4 linked regions of the Arabidopsis thaliana genome follow. The protein of the gene in region 3 interacts with the protein of the main gene of each other region in a biochemical or structural test. Each region holds a gene or a part of one and is shown on either strand. Other genes may lie near its edges.

Evidence for each region.
Region 1: the proteins of BES1 (region 3) and IWS1 form a complex in vitro, tested with the Arabidopsis thaliana proteins (one study listed by BioGRID).
Region 2: the proteins of BES1 (region 3) and HAT1 form a complex in vitro, tested with the Arabidopsis thaliana proteins (one study listed by BioGRID).
Region 4: the proteins of BES1 (region 3) and BIM1 form a complex in vitro, tested with the Arabidopsis thaliana proteins (one study listed by BioGRID).

Annotation. Positions count from the first base shown.
Region 1 is NC_003070.9:11,558,207-11,563,564, forward strand, and holds IWS1 (Transcription elongation factor (TFIIS) family protein), read right to left. Parts: upstream 3,694-5,358; 5' UTR 3,581-3,693; coding exon 3,561-3,580; intron 3,329-3,560; coding exon 2,872-3,328; intron 2,786-2,871; coding exon 2,666-2,785; intron 2,583-2,665; coding exon 2,362-2,582; intron 2,281-2,361; coding exon 2,151-2,280; intron 2,066-2,150; coding exon 2,003-2,065; intron 1,916-2,002; coding exon 1,838-1,915; intron 1,761-1,837; coding exon 1,669-1,760; intron 1,577-1,668; coding exon 1,520-1,576; intron 1,431-1,519; coding exon 1,259-1,430; intron 1,039-1,258; coding exon 940-1,038; 3' UTR 549-939; downstream 1-548. Other genes in the region: AT1G32127 (plant viral-response family protein), read left to right, coding at 1-402; AT1G32140 (F-box family protein), read right to left, coding at 4,536-5,120. UniProt on the Arabidopsis thaliana protein: Transcription factor involved in RNA polymerase II (RNAPII) transcription regulation. Involved in transcription elongation. May function at post-recruitment and elongation steps of transcription.
Region 2 is NC_003075.7:9,737,665-9,741,757, reverse strand, and holds HAT1 (Homeobox-leucine zipper protein 4 (HB-4) / HD-ZIP protein), read right to left. Parts: upstream 2,241-4,093; 5' UTR 1,897-2,240; coding exon 1,749-1,896; intron 1,662-1,748; coding exon 1,333-1,661; intron 1,248-1,332; coding exon 1,168-1,247; intron 1,067-1,167; coding exon 775-1,066; 3' UTR 524-774; downstream 1-523. UniProt on the Arabidopsis thaliana protein: Probable transcription factor.
Region 3 is NC_003070.9:6,686,789-6,690,935, forward strand, and holds BES1 (Brassinosteroid signaling positive regulator (BZR1) family protein), read left to right. Parts: upstream 1-1,746; 5' UTR 1,747-1,891; coding exon 1,892-1,950; exon of another isoform or gene 1,951-2,045; coding exon 2,046-2,316; intron 2,317-2,633; coding exon 2,634-3,377; 3' UTR 3,378-3,623; downstream 3,624-4,147. Other genes in the region: AT1G19340 (Methyltransferase MT-A70 family protein), read left to right, coding at 1-10; RRA3 (Nucleotide-diphospho-sugar transferase family protein), read right to left, coding at 3,884-4,147. UniProt on the Arabidopsis thaliana protein: Positive regulator of brassinosteroid (BR) signaling. Transcription factor that activates target gene expression by binding specifically to the DNA sequence 5'-CANNTG-3'(E box) through its N-terminal domain.
Region 4 is NC_003076.8:2,605,486-2,612,194, reverse strand, and holds BIM1 (basic helix-loop-helix (bHLH) DNA-binding superfamily protein), read left to right. Parts: upstream 1-1,944; 5' UTR 1,945-2,100; exon of another isoform or gene 2,101-2,280; 5' UTR 2,281-2,623; coding exon 2,624-2,660; intron 2,661-2,791; coding exon 2,792-2,893; intron 2,894-3,309; coding exon 3,310-3,711; intron 3,712-3,812; coding exon 3,813-3,915; intron 3,916-3,999; coding exon 4,000-4,136; intron 4,137-4,221; coding exon 4,222-4,336; intron 4,337-4,433; coding exon 4,434-4,503; intron 4,504-4,600; coding exon 4,601-4,696; intron 4,697-4,807; coding exon 4,808-5,145; intron 5,146-5,246; coding exon 5,247-5,358; intron 5,359-5,450; coding exon 5,451-5,540; 3' UTR 5,541-6,177; downstream 6,178-6,709. UniProt on the Arabidopsis thaliana protein: Positive brassinosteroid-signaling protein. Transcription factor that bind specifically to the DNA sequence 5'-CANNTG-3'(E box). Can bind individually to the promoter as a homodimer or synergistically as a heterodimer with BZR2/BES1.

The sequences.
Region 1 (5,358 bases), 4.9 Mb from region 3:
GCTTTTACGGCAGAGTGTCTTCTCTTCTTCTTCCACTCCACAAGCCACAAAGGTCTTGAAGGTTATTACCATCTCCTCCTCGTCTTTCTCATCGGTCTCTGCGTCATCTCCTCAATCGCTGGAGCAATCTGCCCTACAAGCTTCCCAGTAGATCTATGCAATGGCATTGCAATGACTCTTCAAGGCCTCTGGTTTTATCAGACAGCTTTCACTCTGTATGGCCCTATGATGCCTCAAGGCTGCAGTTTAAAACAAAACTCTGTAGTTTGCAGATCAGTTGATTCAGAAGTCTCAGGAGAGTTTCTGGCTAATTTTCAGCTCTTTTCATTGGTTCTTGCTGTTCTTGTTTGCGTTGTGGGTTCATATGTTTTTGCAGCTTCAAGATTTGGAGTAAGTAGATGAGAGATTTAGTAAGTAGAAATTAGGATTTTGTTTTCCTCTTCTTCTTTGTTTCTGAATTTCAGAAAGAAATAAAGTAATAGTCTTTTTTTCTTCATCTGCATTTGGAGGCGTTTCCGTTTCAAGCAACCAAAACTTGTGAAACACACATAAAAGTAGTCTTTGTGTCTGCAAATAACGAGCCAATTTTGAGTTATTTAGTGTCATTGCTTTATTTTCTAACAAACAATATAGCAGAAAGATGAATCTCAAAGAAAGAGGACAAAGTGTTTATTGAAAACTCACTGAAAATTGATTATCATAATATTTTATGCTCTGAAGAAAGAAGTGACGAACAAAGTGTTTTCACTTCCCATTACATTAGAGGCTCAAAGCAAAGCATATATAGAAGAGTACATATACGTATAACCCCAATGCCTTTAAGTCTTCGACTTCACCTGAAAGACCTTTAAACACTGATCCAAGCAAAGTTGGAAGATTAACACGATAGAAGGAACCAATTTCAATGTGGATGGATGGTATGGTCTGGTTGTAACCTCTCTAGAGGTACTTGATCATACCCCGACCTTCAACGCTCACTTTCGTAGCTTGTAGCCGCTTCTTCTTTGTTCCTTTTAGCTGCTGAAGTTTCTTGTTCATCTGCAGTTATAACACAAAAGAACCAGCTCAAGGACTATTAGAGAAAAGAAAGAGCAACAAAGGGTTTTTGTTTATATACTGTCACAAAAAGGTCTCAGATTTTGAGCCAGTACAAGGCTTTCTTGAAAAGGATTTCACTTGTATTTACCATACCAAATCAGTACTTAGATGGTGTTTTGTTTGTCAGTGAAAAAAAGATAAACGGTAGAAGTCTTTTTACCTTGACCCGACGCTGGTCCTGAGAAACCTGTTTTGCACGGGCTATGATCTCATCTGGATCAATCTTGGATTGAGGACGGATCAAAAAGTCCAATGGGGTTGCTTCCGGCCTCATCGTCATTTGCCTGTCTCCCCTTGAACTCTGACCCGAAGTCAGACCAGTTTTACGTTCCCTGCATATTTTTCAACAAACAATGAGTAATGTTAAAACATAACTTTTAGAAGTTCATATATCTACAAATTTGGAAGATTTTTTCCATACCGAATTTCCAAGTCAAAGTCACCATCTCTGGACTCCATTGTCGCTTTGTTGCTAGGTCTATCCCCAGTAGAACAAGAAGAGAAGCTATGAATCAGTATATGAAATGTGAAAGCGAGTAAAATAAAAAAAATAAAGGTTTCGGGAAATACTTCTTCACTGGTGGTCTTCTATAGGGAACCCTATCTTCATCGAGATTTCTCATGTCCTCAAACCTAGTACTCTTGTTGAAAATTGGACGAGACTGCATCATCAAGTATACAGTAAGTAACTGGCTGGAATTTGATTCGAGGGATTGGAGCTCTTGAAAAAGATGATTACCCATTTATCAACCAAATCCTTAGCAAGTCGTCTGTTGGAATTAGTTTCCTCGTCGGACTTTGATAAGAACATAATGACCTGCCAAAGCCAGAACAAATTTAAGTTCCTGAGTATAAATCCTACATACCGATTCTTGTCAATTTGAATCAGGTAATGTATCCTAACCTTTCCAAGCCCACTCTTTTTCAATTGCTCCCTTCTATCATACTGGTCCAAGTCAATCGGAAACTGCAAGACAGACTCAGTAATTGGTAAAGCAGCTAAAAAGGCTCAAAATCACGGAAAAACCCTCAACAGGAAAACAAGAGCATACATCAGTAAGAACTCTTAGAATAGCTGCACGGATGTTTATATTTGGCAAGCTTCCATCTGGAAGAGGCTCAAGCCAATTCTTCAACAGGGTTAAAACTCCATGGTCCAGGAATTCTGTTTGAAGCTGCTTCCTGGATAACGAAAAATAAACGTATTACAAAACAGATTGTTAGAAAGAAACAGTATAAGATAACAGTAAGTTAGCAACTTACTTTCCAAGTACATCGGTAAGAAGCGAAAGTTTCTTAAGCTTGTTGATAGCAGGCTTCCCCTGTCTATTAAGTTCTGCATCTTCCTCAGCAGTAACCTCAAGCTCAGCCATCACATTCTCAACCAAAAGCGCAATTTCCGCAGGATTTCTTTCAGTCTTTTTCTTTTTCTTCCCCATTTTGAAAAGGTTATTTACCTCATCTTCATCCTCACCCTCTTCTGCCTGTTTATTCATAACAAAAGCATTTTGTATCAACAAACAAAAGCTAGACTCAAAGATCAAAATTGAAGATACACTACTCATACCTGAGGATAATGAGTTGGAGAACGGTCTCCAGCGTCACCTCCATACCTCTCAGAAGGATCCAAACCAGTATCGTCAATGAAATTATCATCATCCATAGTCCTAACACCTTCTTCATCATTCTACAACAGAAACGAAACACTTTTATAAGTCGAAAAAACAAAATTCTCTCTCAGGCAATCTTATAACTATAGTCAATCTACTGCACCTCTGGGTTATGAGCAATAGATTTCCACATCTCATCAATCTCTTCTGACTTCCTTTCGCCACGATTCGGAAACTTATGCCTCTTCTCCTTCCCACTACCACTACTACTTCTCTCTTTCTCCTTCTTCCTCTTCCTACCAACCTTATCATCATAATCAGTACTACCACCACCTCTTCCTCCCATAAACTCATCAAACTCAGCATCATCCACATCCTCATCAATCAATTCCGGAACATCAATAGTCACACGTTCACTAGAAGATTTCTTCACCAATCTCTTCCTTGGTTTAGCTACTTTATCATTATCATAAACAGGCGTTTGTGATCCTTCACCATCCCAATCTCCAATATCATCAGCCAGATCTTCATCAAAATCCTGAAGTGGCTCTGTAGATGGCTCGCGATCATTCCCAAAATCATCAAAGTCCACTATTGGCTCTCCATCTACATCACGGTACCTGGAAAAAAAAAATACAAAATCTTATGAATCTGAAACACAAAGGATTCAAATCAATAGGAGATTGAATCTGCCCATGAATCAAAACACTCTCTTTTCACAAAAACGAAATCGAAATTTGGGAAATTGAAAAGAGATCGATTTTGGTAACCCTAGATTCAATCAAAGGTGGGATTTTTATCTGCACAACGAAGCTAAAAATATGAAATCGAAGAGAAAGGATTAGAATTTACGGATCATCCTCGAAACCCATTTCTTCTCAGCTTCCAGAAAATGATTCGAAAGAGATAATTTACGAATTCTTTGATCTTCGAGTTGTTGTGAGAGGCGAAGAGGAGGGAAGGGAAGGGAAGGAAGAATTTGGGATCGGGCTACTATGGAATATTCGACGGTCACGATTGAAGAATTATTTTAACAGTTTAGATCTCGCCACGTCATCAATTCTCTGAGTAACAGCAATTAATTAGTATTGACTATTGACTTCGTGTTAACAAAGTCAACTGTCTCTAGTCAAAAGAGACAAAACATTAGATCAATTACTTGTGAGAGGAGTTGTGAGTTGTGACTAACTTTTACTTGTCGTTTGAACCGACTACAAATAAATATTGATGGTTTGGGGATGTTTATAATCTATACATCAAAAATGGTTAAATCGATATCAAACTTTGAATGGCATATATGCTTTCTAAAGCATAAGAGGGCTTGGTGCCTAAGATTGATGTTAACGAATTTGAATTCAAGTATGAATCTTGATTGCATTAGCTTAACGTCTTAAATTGGTGCATTACAACATATATTTGAGGATGTTGCTCTGTATACATGGACCGAGGATTTATAAAAAAAAAAACATTTTGAATCCCGCATATTTTGTCTCTCTATTGACTCATTCATCTACATTATACAAGTGTTCAAAGTCCTCGTACTCGTCATGATTCTAACATATCTAGGAACCTTCCGTCATATAATTATCTTGAACGGTTTAAGCCCCTATTCGAGAAACAGTCATGGTCGTTGTCTCTATACCAAGTGTTGGAACTAATTAATACATAGCATTGTGGAAAGCAAAATCCAGGTTCCTATATTAAGAGAACTAAACAGAAACAAAATAAAGATCGAATATTGACTAGTTTTGTTTAGAGAACATTGCAAAAGAAAAGAAGAAAAAAAAATCAAAATGAAATGCAAGAAAGATATAAGCATTGCTAGTGTTACACCTTGTTGCTTAGTTTCATCTGCTTGTCTTTACTTTTGCGCTTCGTCTTCTTCTCTTTCCTTTTGCGTCCTGCATTGTGGTTGATTTTCACCAAACTTGGAACATAATAAGAGCAAGAGCACACAAGCGGCGAAAAACAATACACGCGTTCTCCGACCTCCACAGATTCTTGGGAGTTTGCAGCTTTTTCAAGATCCACTGTTCTCAAATATCTATTATCTCCAATGACGTAAGCCGTAGAGGTTTTAACTTTGTCTGAACTAAAAAACACGACAACTTTCTTCTCTTCGTCAATGAAAAAACTGTCATTACGATCATCAAAGCGAAGATCAATGCATGGTTTCCTATCAACTCTTAAGAATTTGCTCCACGACTCGACATTAGGATCAATCTTAATTGTCATCCATATCTCTATCATCACACATGTATTTTTCCAGTATAACACTGCGACTGCAAGTTTCTCTTCTTTAACAGAAGATAGAGTCCAAGTATCCCTAAAAGAATGTTTAAACGGCAGAGGAAGAATCTGTCCAAATCTCTCGGTTGTAAAATCAAAACACAGTATAAAATCATATCCATCCTATAAATTTTTATCACCATGGGAAAGAGTAACTATTGTTTTTTTATCTACAAGAACTCTTAACATATCCAAGCGCCTGTAACGATGCGTTTTTGAGACATTTATCTTTGGTGGGGGAGGGGATAGAAGAAGTTAGTTCAAGTGGAGAAGAACTTTCTCGTACGAGTAGTTTTTTATCACATGGTTCTGACTCAGAAACAAAATAATAATCGACTAATCTTGTTCAAAGGACATTACA
Region 2 (4,093 bases), on a different chromosome or scaffold from region 3:
TGTGTGAGAAGAAATTGCTTTCAGTACTTTCACTTTCACCAAGTACTGACAAAATGGGGTCAGTTGCTGGTGTGATCAAATATGCATGTGTTTCTCACTTTCTCTGGTGAAATAGACGACGACAACCACCACCATAATTTGGGCCGGTAAATTCGGCCCATTAATTGCACACTGTTAAGAGTTATTACCCAGTAAGATTGTAGCATTCTAAAAAATCAAGATTCTCGCTCGCTTACTACAATTCCTGGGTCCCTTTAGGATTTGTCTAGGTAGGAAGAAATATCAAACCGTCTAAATTTCAATAACCTGACGGTTCAACTTTTGTTTATGAAAAAAACTATTAGAGTATTTAGATGATTAGAGATATCATTTTTATGTAAAAGAAAAAAGAAGGGTATGAAAAAGATCTCGAAAAATTTGAAAATAGAAAAACTTATGCTTTTCTCATGAGGCACTTAACCTGGTCGCATATACAAAGATCATGTCAACGTAAAATGAAGATGGCTTCATGATTATGTCAAGAATGTATAATGGTTATTGGTTAAGAAGAGCTGGGTTTATCAAAAAAAAATAAAAGAAAAACTGTTCTTTTTTATCCTGTTTTTTTTTTTATTATTATAAATTTGTTTGTTATCAAGAAGACAAGAATAACTAATTTAATTAGATTAAAGTAAATTTAAAAGTAGAAAAAGGCTTTTAAGGATACATTAGCTGAGAGTCAATAATCTAAAAAGTACAATGACCCACACACAACCCATAGAAGCAGCATTAAAGTTAAGACCTAGGACGCATCACATCAAAGGTTGACCCATGGGCCATTTGGAGCCATGGACTCAATGAGACAGATCGCTGGTTGTGGTTAGATGAGGATGGTCCGGCCACACGTTCACACGATGGACACATCAAAAGTGTGGTCGGTGGACTCATCTGACCATACAACCGCGGTGAAAGCTTTAATGCTCTTAGTTCCGCTGCCTCTTTCTCGAGCCGCCGATTCTCTTCCGTTAATTTCTCAACACATCTTTTCAAATACTCGCAATCCACTTCGGTCTGCTTTAACTTTGTCCTATTAGGCACAAAAATGGGTTGTATTGTAAATAACATTGCTCTTTAGGGGCAAAATGGTCAACTAATATGTAAAAATAATGAGCACTCTAGTTCTCTCACCTTGCTCTTCTGTTTTGGAACCACACTTCCACTTGTCTTGCTGTTAAACCTAGCTTCTTAGCCAAAGCCAGCTTCTGTTTCTGTAGTTTTACAATAAAGCCCTTGTTAAAAACAGAGTATTTACAATAATACTTTCACGCTCCGAGAGATGGATGAATGACTAACGGGATTGAGAGTATTGTGCTCTTTGAAAGTGTCTTCGAGAACTGCGGATTGATCTTTGGATAGTCTAAGCTTCTTCCTACAAGTCTCACCTCCGTAATCTTCCTCTTCATCGGAGGTTCCACGTGAGGAAGATCTATCTAGAGTGATGTCAAGGTCATCTCCGCAACCACCACCGGAGGTACCTTCTCTTTCAGTACTCCTCCTCTTTCCACTCACTGTGCTCGAGATCGTACTGTTTGGAGACGAAACTCCTGTCTCCTCTTCCAAATCCACCGTTGTTGGCAAGCTGTTCACGTCGATTTTCCTAAGAAACTGTTGCTTTTGTTGATCTGAAAAATGAAAAAGGGTTATTTCAGGATCTGTGTTGTTTCCTTGTGGAAAAAGGTTATCAAGACTTTGTTGAAGAAGAAGCTTACCTGAGGAAGAAACAAGGGTTTGGTTCCATGGAAACATCTGGAGATTGGACATTGGTGAAGAAGTGGGTTTAAGATTTAGCTGGAGAGGATGGTTTTGTGCAAATCCCAAGCTAAGACTTAAACCCAAATCCTCTTTACCCATCATCATGATATTGTCTCTTGGTAGAAAATGAGAATAGCAAAAGCTTTGATCTTTATGAGTAGAGATGACTAGAAAAACCTTGATCTAAAGCTGATTTTACCTCAAAAGATTTATCAGTTGTGCTAAGTGTATGGAGGACAAGAGAAACCTTCTTCTAGGGTTCTTATAGAGAGAGAGAGATGTGAAATGGGAAATGAAAAGAGAAAGAGAGGATTAATATAGGAAGTGAATGATATGAGATGTTGTCAGGTTGGCCAATTATAATCTATTAATGCCCTTTTGAAACTCAATTATTATATCCCCAACTTGTTCCCTCTTTGTCTTCTCCTTTCTCTTTTTTTTTTTTCTTTATCTTTTCCTTCTTCTTCTTTTACTATTTTAGTAAATTGTATAGTAAGTCCTATCTTTTGCTATCTTTTTCCATAACCTCAAAGTACTTCTATATATGTATGGAATCCAAAGTAAATTTAAAATGCAAATTCATATTTTCCATCTCTACTTTATTTCTTGCAAATTTGGACTAGGAAAAGAGAAACTCTATAATATGCGGTGCAAATCCATTATGACATTTATTTAGCGACAATAAGTACATCAAATTATATGCCTAATCAACTAAATAATGATTCTAAGTTTTAATTATATACCTTCACATATATATGAAGTGACTCATGTTATGTCTTGCATATATTAGATATAAGCAGCCTTAGCTTCTGATTTAATAGTATCCGAGGAATTTTATTATTGCGCCAATTTGATATCATTTCGAGATATATAGACATTAGTTCTTTATTAAAAAAAAAATTAATAGAATTATTATTAAGAGTTGTAACTTGCTAATCTTTTTGACCATGTCAAAAAAAAAAAATAAAGATGTTATTGGATGAGCTTACTAGAGTGAATTTTATTTAGTATTTACGGTAAGTTGAATAATTGCCAATCTAATAGTTATGCTACAAAATATTTACTCTACTGTAAAGAAATAAACGTGAACATCTTTAGTTTTTTACTCCACCTAAAAGTGGTAGTAAATATTTCAGTTCATTTTCTCTTTTCATTTTTATTTAACCCTCAAATTTTTCCAATCATTGGTGCAAGAACTTGTGACCTTTGTAAAGAAAAAAAAAACAACTCAATCAGTCAAGATCACACACGGATGAGAACAGATATCGAAGAAATAGTTGGCAATTAATTGTTGAAATAATGAAGAAAAAAAAAGGACTAAATCAAGTGGTTGGTACAAAACACAATCCACATGAATCTGAGCTCATTCAAAGTTGTGGGCCAGTCACCTGTTGTGATCCAATCATATCCATGTGGGATGTGGGATCTATCATTACACTAACACCCATATGTATTACATATGAATCCAATATTCACTGACTGTTTCTCTATTTTCATTTCATGTTCTTAAACTTTCAACTATTATAGATCATCATACTTCCCTTATCATCAATTTTGTAGAATTTTTAAGTATTCAGATCGTGTTCTATAATCAGATATATTCTGAGTGCTGCTAATCAGAATCATTTTGCTTTATTGTTGACAAAAAAAAAAAAGAAGAAGTAAATTAAAACTGCCGAAAGATGATTAAAAAATGTCTCAAATAGTTTTGGGCTCAAGAGAGAACATGGGCAGGTGGGTCATGTCACGTGACAACAAGGGACCCGAAAACACTCGACCCGGCCGTGCGTTTTATTTTGTTTCCTCACGCGCCGACATCTTATCATTGCCTACCACGCGCCTTCATCATTTTCGCTTCGTTGTAATCATTATACGCATGATTTCAAATGAAATAACTCCTTCTCATTAATGATCTAACTGTACTCGAAATTAAAAATAGTTAAACATAGTACATTCGAATTATATGCCGTATATAATGAACTAATAATTCATCTTTCTAGTAAGTATTTTTTTTTTCAAACTAGTAGTGTATTATGCGTTCTAAACGAAAACATGAAATATCTATTTAGAAGCTCTATTTGAAAATGTTAATGGATTTGAATACTCACGACAAAACGAACCAAAAAATTGTTATTGAATATATATATTTCTACTTCGTTTTTTGATTAGAAGAAATTCGAGACCCAAAAGCTCGTAGATCCCCCTTAGGTTGAGACGAGAAATTCAAGACCCCTATTAGCTTATATATATTTAGTCTATACTTGTATATAATAGCAGTGATTAAGGGTTCGGTATAGTCCCG
Region 3 (4,147 bases):
GAAAGTTTAGTGGGCGCATTCCCTAGGGTGTAACCAAGAAAAAGGCTGGCTTGGGCCCTCATGATCGTTTTTCTCTATGACTCATTCTCAAGCTGGGGACAGTTAGGAGAGAACCCTTGGAAAGAAGTGGAAGGTTCGGTTCATCGCAAACGACATCGTTTGAAGAAGACAACACTAGAGTAAGCCTGAAAAAAGTATAGTGTTACTAAAGATTATTTTGTCTCAGAACTGTACCATCAATTTAGTAAGCTTTTTCCTTTTCCTTTCATAAACAGATGATGTTTCAGATAAAATTTAAATATATTATCAGTACAGTAAGATTACATACTATATTAGTATCACTATTCTGCTATTCACTAGATTTCTTTTTCTTTTTCAACAAAATATGAATAAAATAAAGGCAAAAGCGTGTTAAATATAAATTCAATAAGTGACTACTCGTTGGAAGATCATATCTGCTTTGATGGGTCTATTTGTGGGGCAAATCCACTATCCAGTTTTCCTTTTGTGTTCAATGAACTATACAATTGTCAAAAAAAAAAAAACATGAGAATTAAAGAAAATCATCATGACCAATGAAGAGCAGGTCCCAACAATAATTCCGAATTATAGGCTCTGATTGTTATAGCAATCAAACAATATGCTTACAAATCACAAAACAAAATTAACGATATTTCCAAATATAGAGCTTTCCAGTTTGACTTAATAATGTTGTGTGAATATCCTCACATTTCCATTTTCGACTCTCTTTAGTAAATTTTGAAGTAGTAGAATGATGTAGAATGTTTTGTTTTATCAATCACACAGTTTTGTGAAATCACGATTTCCATCCACTATTCAAGAAAAACATCAAGTGGAAGAAATAATAAACCAAAACCATCGCAACAAAATGCATATCACGAGTATAGAATGAACAAACTACACTGTCAAATACTTAATTTAGGACTTAAACTTCGCTTTCAGACAACTTGGTTCGGAAACTTGACCATCCGTCATGTTGATATACACAATCCATCTCAAATGTAGTAGTGAATCACTATATCAGCATGTGTTATCAAACGCAAGTTGTCACTAAGATCGGAGCTTCTAGTTCAAAATGTTGATAAGTATTACGAAAGTACAATTGAATATACCAATTATACATCCAAACACGTCCATGCTTCTCCACTCGAGTTCTCTTTGGAAATCTATATAATCCGTCGGTTTGGTATTTTACTAGTTGTACGTAGTGTCTCCCCTCATATGTATTGAGTCTTTATAGTTTGTTGCCTCGTATACGATAGAAAGTAAAGGCTAAAAAACCATACTATTTCATAAAGGGTTTATTTAGTTAACTTTTAATCTAAACCATGTATCACTCCATTTTACGTATATTCGTTTTCACAAATAATCTACTAAATAATTTTGTAATGTGATAAAATTAAAGAATAAACACATGATACATAAACAGTCAGGACAAAAGTAAGCACTCATTTTCTTCTATTCATACTATAGTGAAACACTATTTTATTTTTATCCATATACTATAGTGACAAATTAATCTAATCATTAAATGTTATGAGGCTCAAAACAATTTGTTTTCTTATTTAACATGGCCGATCCCCTCATAAACCAATCAGATGGTGTGTTTTCCGGTCATACTCGTGTAGGACCCACTTCATTACAATGGCCCCACATGTCTCTCTATCTTTTTCTCCTCTTTATAAAATCAGCTCCTTTTCTTACACAGATTTAGAGAAACACAACATAAAACGTACTTCTTCTTCAAAACGCGAAACCACACTGTAAGTTACGTACACCACCACCTATCCTCACCATTCATCATCGACACGTGGCTGGTTTAACTCAAATCAACGGTGAATTCTTTTTGCTTTTTTATTTTAAATAATGAATGAAAAGATTCTTCTATAATTCCAGCGAAGAAGAAAGAAAAAAAAAAGCGTATTCCTCGTGAGCACTAACTTCTCACTCATTCTTCTTCTTCAGCTGAATCCAAATACCCATTTCCATTTTTAACCGTGGTTGGATTGTTTTGAGAGTTGAAGGAAGAAGATGACGTCTGACGGAGCAACGTCGACGTCAGCTGCAGCTGCAGCAGCAGCGATGGCGACGAGGAGGAAACCGTCGTGGAGAGAGAGGGAGAACAATCGGAGAAGAGAGCGGCGGAGAAGAGCTGTTGCGGCGAAGATTTATACTGGTCTTAGAGCTCAAGGTAACTACAATCTTCCAAAACATTGTGACAACAATGAGGTTCTTAAGGCTCTTTGTTCTGAAGCTGGTTGGGTTGTTGAAGAAGACGGAACTACTTATCGCAAGGTCAGTATCAAACGCATTTTTACTTAGATCTGATGTTATCTGATGATTTAGCTGTTGAATCTGAAGATTTGGATTTGAAATTGGTCAAATTGGGATTTTCTTGGCTATGAATTCGAGGTTTTTAGCTGAGGAAGCTCAGTTTTATTCTAAAATTGGATCGAGATTCCTTGCGGAGAAAGTGACCTTTAGGGTTCTTCTTACTAATTTGAGAACCGAATTAGCTTTACTTTCACTTGGTTACTATATTTAGATCTCTCCTTTAGCTTTTGATTGATTGTGACATTGTGATGTTTTTGGTATTGTTCTATGAGCAACAGGGACACAAGCCTCTACCTGGTGACATGGCTGGATCATCTTCTCGAGCAACTCCTTACTCTTCCCATAACCAAAGTCCTCTTTCTTCCACTTTTGATAGCCCCATCTTATCTTACCAAGTCAGTCCTTCCTCTTCTTCATTCCCGAGTCCTTCTCGAGTTGGTGATCCACACAATATCTCCACAATCTTCCCTTTCCTCAGGAATGGTGGTATTCCTTCATCGCTTCCTCCACTTAGAATCTCAAACAGTGCTCCTGTCACTCCACCAGTGTCATCCCCAACTTCTAGAAACCCCAAACCATTGCCTACTTGGGAATCTTTTACCAAACAATCCATGTCCATGGCTGCTAAACAGTCAATGACTTCTTTGAACTACCCGTTTTATGCGGTGTCTGCACCTGCCAGTCCTACTCATCATCGCCAGTTCCATGCTCCGGCTACTATACCTGAATGTGATGAGTCTGACTCTTCCACTGTTGATTCTGGTCATTGGATAAGCTTTCAAAAGTTTGCACAACAACAGCCATTCTCTGCCTCTATGGTGCCAACCTCGCCTACCTTCAATCTCGTGAAACCTGCACCACAGCAATTGTCTCCAAACACAGCAGCAATCCAAGAGATTGGTCAAAGCTCCGAGTTTAAGTTTGAGAACAGCCAAGTTAAGCCATGGGAAGGGGAGAGGATCCATGATGTGGCTATGGAGGATCTAGAGCTCACGCTTGGAAATGGTAAAGCTCATAGTTGAGATGAAGTATACATGAACCTGTTATGTCATGTCGGAAGGAAGGATTGGAGAATGAGAATTAGTGTGTTGTTCATTCAGTTCATGGTTTTGGTTCTTGTTCTAGAATCGATATTCATTGTACCAGTGAGTTTGTTTCACAACGCATTATTTGTAGATAGAATGTTTAAGATGTATGTTTCTATTATCATTCCTTTTAGGTCTTGAAAACATTACAAATATATTACATGATTAAGTGGCTTGAAATGTAAATTATATATCGGATGATGAAACAGAGAAAAACAAGTGAGGCTAAAACAAAGACTTGGGATGTAATAACAAGATCAGAGAGGTTAAGAAAGAAAAAAAAGACTTGCGATTTTAGCCATAAGATACACAAAAATTCATAATACAAAGAGGAAAGTAGAAGGCATGAAGCAGTAAACATTGGAAAAGGGAGAAATATATTAGAATCACAAATGTCAAGAAACTCGGAAAGTTTTTTTTAGCCTATCTGCTTTTCAGGTGAATCATTCAGAACCATCGGGGAAGCTATCAAGCGCGTCTTGCTTACCGTTAACGTAGAACTCAACGACGGCTTGCATTCTATTGAGCTTATCTGGATGGTAATTCACATGAACAATCACTGGTTTCACTTTCTTCTTCAGTTCATGATTCTTTCTTACAGTCTTGAAAAGGACCTTACTGTTCATAAACTCATACATATCCATGACTCTCTTGGATGCATGTAGCGCAGTGTACTCAGGATGTGAAGGATAAAACAGTTCCTCGTT
Region 4 (6,709 bases), on a different chromosome or scaffold from region 3:
AGTTGTGATGAGATCTCGCATTGATTTACTTCAAATTGGATTAAATATGTAAAAATATGTTTAAGAAATCTTGTGACTCCGCGAATGATTTTCTCCTATACATTATTCTAATTAATTCCATGGATATGTTTTATAATATGCGTAGGAAATTAAAGAAAATATGTTTTGTATTATATAAGTTATTTTGATCTTAATCTTTTGAAGTTGAAACCTACTTGATATGCTTCTTCTTATTTTGTTAACTAACTCAAGTTGAATGATTATTTATTGATTGAATTACGTAAGACGGGAAGAACATGATGTGCCCAACCGAACCACGAATGGTTAAGGATAGGTCGGTTTGTGGCATATCAATAAACAGTTTATGAGACTGAATGGAAACCTTCTTTCTTCGATCGACTAAAACCCTTAGCCTTCCAAGTTTCTAGTCAAGAAGTATTGTTACTAAATTGCCCTTGATGTTAATGTTTTCGAAAATCTATTTATGTTTCTACAGTGTTTCTCTCACGTGAGTTGCAGAGTCAGTTCACGTGGTCCCACTACATCATGAAAACGACGTCACACTAACCTCTTATTCGCCTTTCACTTGAATTGACCATTTCGTTTTTATTTACTTTCCTTGATTTCTTTCTTTCTTCTCATCTAAACGTGTAAAAATCTTAACAATTCCATTTGCTTTTTTGTTTTTGATTTTAATGTATCTAACCAATTACTTGTGCTCTAGAGAAACCGAATCTCGAATAACAATAATACATTTCATCAAAGAACCACGAGATTGCGAGTGATTTTAAATCAATATAATACAATTCATGGGGTTAATATAAAATACAGAGAATAAAGCGTGTTTAAGCACAACCTAACAACTCACGAGACAAAGTGGAAGGCATGTGGGGATGTGTAATTGTTTTTGCTCTTTCCCTATTTTGTACAATTTTTCACTTCATGTGATCCAACACTATTTAGCTATAGTTCCTTTCTCACTATCATCTCCATCTCTGTTTTCAATTTATTATTTCTATCTTCAGATTAAACTCATGACTACTGGAAAGATGTAGTACTCAGAAACTAACTAGATTGTAAGCATTAGGGGAGGGCAATAAATATTACTCGTAAGTAAATTTAATTCTTAACTACTGAAAATCTTAAGTAATTTAATCAAGTATATACGTACTTGCAAAAACTTGAAAGCCATAACTATTTTCGCTTGAATACAAATGGACTAAAGATATTTTATCATTTTATTTTTGGTTTTAAGAGATGACTTTTTTCGAATATATAATTCAAATTATATACAGTACTAGACATATGTTAGTTTAGTAAATGCTAACAAGACTTTTAAAATAAGTACTGTAATTTGTAAGTCGTCTATTTGGTTTACTTATAAGTTAGTGATTTTGTAACAAGTGGCATTCAACTAAATATAAAAATGCGCTTAGCTCACATGATCAGGTTCTTAACTATGGGTTTTAGACAATTTGTTAAAGGCGGAAGAGCTGTCTTTGTTCCACCTAATGTCACATACATTACATATATCTCCACTCACACAAATACATAGACGCATACACGTACGAACAAAATCATACTTGTCCCCCTATATTCCATCATCTATAGCAGAATTTCTACTACTAAATTTACTATTAAATTGGTAATTGTTTGCAGCCAAGCCTAGCTATCAATTAGTAGTACGTATCTTTGTCAAACTTACCAATTACCTTCCAATTTACCAATTAAACAAGTCGTCTAGTTATGCGCATTCAGTACACACGAACATAGACCACGTAATACAGTGGTCTGATTACATTATTTACATGGAGGTTTTTATAAGCATGATTTTCTAAACGGAGACACAAAATCTTCTTTATTTTATTTTTCCTTTTCGCACTGTTCATTTAGGTTTGGTGGTATTAGGCTATAGAAGAATGTACGATGACTTGAATATCAGATACATGAGATTCTTAATTAATCATACATATCTTACCATTTTAATTAGTTAACTGATTTCCTTTTGATTGCATTTACTTCGACGCATGATAGTAGTCGGCGTAATTTCAACAGTACCTTGACACGCCAAAAGCTTCACGTAATTTGCTGTCGAAGAAGGTACGCTTCTTAGCTCAAATCTAATCCATTCGTGTTCTTTAGAGATTTGACTTGGATTCTAGTTTTTGTATCTCCATGTTCATTGGTTGACTTGAATTATGCGAAATTGAGTTGGTTTGAGCTATGAATTCCGCTGAATTATGGTTATTCTCTTGAATTTCTACCCAATTCTGATGACAGATCTATCGATTCCACGAATTTGGTGACTTCTGCCGATTCTCCCGTTTGAATTCTGTGGAATTCGCTGAGAAAAGTTGCGGCGGAGGCTGATTTAGGTTAAATCGAGCAGAATTTGACCAAATTCGAGGATTTTTATCGGTAAAAAGATACAGAGAAAGCATAATTCAGCAACTTCAGAGCTCAATTCCGCTTCTTCAACCATCGAAAACCACAATATCTCTTGAATCAGCTGCTACAAGTCGCAGATCTGAGCTGCTAGCCAATTTTTGCGATAATTCCCGCGCACAGATTAGTAATAGAATAATTTAAAAAGAATTCAAAAACCGTCGAAGCTCTGTCGTTCATGGAGCTTCCTCAACCTCGTCCCTTCAAAACCCAAGGTAAACACCATTATCAGATATTATTGTTACCAATTCCTTTATTTTATTTTAAAACAGAGTGTTTAGTTTCTACAAGATTCATAATTTTAAATTTATGTATTTTTTTGAATTTTGATATATATATTAAGAAGAATTTCGCACAGGGAGAAAACCAACACATGATTTTTTATCGCTCTGCAGTCATTCAACCGTCCACCCAGATCCAAAGCCAACACCACCACCTTCTTCTCAAGGTATTTTTTTTTACCATTTTACCCTTTTTTCTTCTTTAAGATTCTCTTAAAAGGGGTCACGTTTTTTTCGCGCGTGCATCTGATCTGACTTTAAGACGAATCATGGATCAAAATGTTGCTATTTTGTTGGGTCCTAATGGGCCCATCTGTGTTTAAAGCCCATGGAATTTTGGGACCGTTTTTTTCTTTCTTTTTCGTCTACACATGTCGTTAAACCTTGCCTTCGATTAAATAAATATCTTTCAACCCTCATGATGTTGATCCCTAGAATTGCATCACATAAATAACAAAATGTTGTTAATTACTATAAGCGTTTAAATGCATACAACTTGATGTATAAGAAAATGTGTATTATCTAGGGATTTACTTCTCTAACATATAGTTTATGTTTTTAATTTTGATGGTACGTGAAGCAGGTAGTCACTTGAAAACCCATGATTTTCTTCAACCGTTAGAATGTGTTGGTGCTAAAGAAGACGTAAGTAGGATTAACTCTACCACTACAGCGTCCGAGAAGCCACCGCCCCCTGCTCCACCTCCACCGTTGCAGCACGTGCTTCCCGGTGGTATAGGGACTTATACGATTAGCCCCATTCCTTACTTCCATCATCATCATCAGAGAATTCCTAAGCCGGAGTTGTCACCACCAATGATGTTCAATGCTAATGAGAGAAACGTTTTGGATGAGAATTCTAACTCTAATTGCAGCTCGTACGCCGCTGCATCAAGCGGGTTCACTCTGTGGGATGAATCTGCTTCTGGGAAGAAGGGACAGACAAGGAAGGAGAATAGTGTTGGGGAGAGAGTAAACATGAGAGGTAACAAGAAAACTTGAATCGTGATGTTTATTTAGACTAGTTTTAAAGTAGTATTTAGAAATCAATGGAATGATGAAATATAAGTTTTTTTGAATGTGTAGCTGATGTTGCAGCAACTGTGGGACAATGGCCAGTGGCGGAGAGACGGTCCCAGTCTTTGACAAACAACCATATGAGCGGTTTCAGTTCTCTCTCTTCCTCTCAGTTAGTCTCATATCTTCTCTTTTTTATATAACTCGGTCTATGGACTTTAAAGAGTGATCAACTAAAGTTTTACTTTGGTTGCAGAGGGTCTGTGCTTAAGAGCCAGAGCTTCATGGACATGATAAGGTCAGCAAAAGGAAGTTCACAGGAAGATGATTTAGATGATGAAGAAGATTTTATCATGAAGAAAGAAAGCTCCTCGACTAGCCAGAGCCATAGAGGTTTGTATTGTCCGAGATTCCACCTATATGATATCTAAAGTCTAAACAGTAACAGCTTAGGATCTGATTGATTGCTTCTTTACAGTGGATTTGAGGGTAAAAGCAGATGTGAGAGGCTCTCCTAACGATCAAAAGCTGAACACACCTAGGTCTAAACATTCTGCTACAGAGCAACGGAGAAGGAGCAAGATCAATGATAGGTAAGTCCTGAATATGTAGCAAAAGCCACCAGAATTGGTTATATAGCTTAGCAGAGTGGAGATACTAATCAAACATTGTTAATGGATCCCTCTGCAGATTTCAGATGTTGAGACAACTAATACCTAACAGCGACCAAAAGCGGGATAAGGCCTCCTTCTTACTAGAGGTATAACTATACTCTTTTGGCCGAAAATTTTGTGACAGTAAGATTCAATCACATCTGCTCCTAATCTCCAATTTTTTTTTTTGACAACTTCATACAGGTTATCGAGTATATTCAATTCTTACAAGAGAAAGCAGACAAGTATGTGACCTCTTACCAAGGATGGAATCACGAACCTGCGAAGCTATTGAATTGGGTAAATATAATCTCACATTTTCCGACCATACTTCATTTTTATTCCCCGGGTTGGAAACTGAAAACAAACAAACCATGTAATGTTAACCCGTGTGATCCATTTACATTATAGCAGAGTAACAACAACCAACAGCTAGTACCTGAAGGAGTTGCTTTTGCTCCAAAATTGGAAGAAGAGAAAAACAACATTCCGGTTTCGGTCCTTGCAACTGCACAAGGTGTTGTTATTGATCATCCAACAACCGCGACGACCTCTCCATTTCCATTGTCGATTCAAAGCAACAGTTTTTTCTCTCCTGTGATTGCGGGTAATCCCGTACCCCAGTTCCACGCAAGAGTCGCATCATCAGAGGCTGTAGAGCCAAGTCCGAGTTCCCGGAGTCAAAAAGAAGAAGAAGATGAGGAAGTTCTTGAGGGTAACATCAGAATTTCAAGTGTTTACTCACAAGGGTAAAACTAAAAAACTCTCTTTTGAATTTTGATCTTGCAACAGTTAAGTAAAAGTAAAAAATTATTAACCTTTTATACATTTACTTTTGTGTGTGGAGCAGATTAGTGAAAACACTGAGAGAAGCATTGGAGAATTCAGGAGTGGACTTAACGAAAGCAAGCATCTCCGTTGAAATCGAGCTCGCTAAACAATCCTCGTCTTCTTCCTTCAAGGTATCTTTTTCTTTACTTACGTTTGATTCAATTCAAACACATTTTCATGAGTTGGATCTTGATAGTTTATAGTTTTGTTCACATCTCGATAGGATCATGAAGTTCGTGAACCGGTTTCTCGAACCAGAAACGACAATGTCAAGCAAACTCGGAAACCAAAACGGCTCAAGACGGGACAGTAGAAGTTATAAAAACAAAACCCAAACACACAATCCGGTAAAAGTTAAACACCAAAATTGATTCCTCTGTTTTTTTCTTTAAATCATTTTATCTCAAAAAGGGATTATAATTTATTATTATAGTTATATCTTTGATTTTTTTCTTTTGTACATCCGAAATCCTGTTATATATATCTCGTGGGTCCATAATCGTATGAGACCTAAGAAGACTAGGGCGACCCGGTTATGCTAACCGCATTTTAGAACATACTCTTTTGAGGAATATATCGTTAAGGAAGGCTTTCAAAGTTTTCTGGAAGCGTCCAGTGTTAAGTGAAAACATTTTTCACTCTCTTATATACTTGATCATCTCACACTTTTTATATTTGTTTCTTCCTCTTACTTTGTTCTATGGTTTTCAATGTAATACTAGATATCTTTTATGTATTTGACTAAACCAAAGCGCATGAACGATTTTGAAAAAGAAAAAGAGAAACACACTTAATTATAATGCCAATCAAAAGCCTGTATGACCCAACTCTCTAGGACAAAGTCTGGAGCACGGCAAAAAGATTAAATCAAGTGTACTTTAGCAACAAGAGCTATCTTGTACTATTATTTATGCAATGTTGTTAGCAAAATAATCAAATGTTATGTGGGGTATTATAAGATATGCCATTGAAAAATATATCAACTAGCATTTAATTACTTTTATTTAAAATGATGAAAATCATATCTTCTATATATTCAACTTCAATACTTGATTTTCCAAACTATTGAAGTAAACGAGATCCCATATATAATGGGATAAAACAACAAACATCAATTACGTTCTTTTAACCATAATTTATATCCATAAACAACAAACCGCCTGTATTTCCTCGGACACGAAGAGGATTTGACACGGGAAGCTTCGTCTTCTCCCTCCTCGTCGTCGCCTCCAAAACTCAGGAGTTTCTTCTTCAGAGACGCGGTGGTAGCATCTTTTACCGTGGAGTTTCGTCGCCGTCGTTGTCTTTATCAATTATGATCTTTCTCGAACTAGAGCTTTTACAGTTAGGGTTTGAAACTTTGACTGGAATTAGAGCAAACTTTGGTCGTGATTGTAGTATTTTTTTAGTTTGGAATGTTGTTTATTATACTAGATATTAATCTGCAGTATACCGCGGACCTATATTTTTATTAAATAAAAA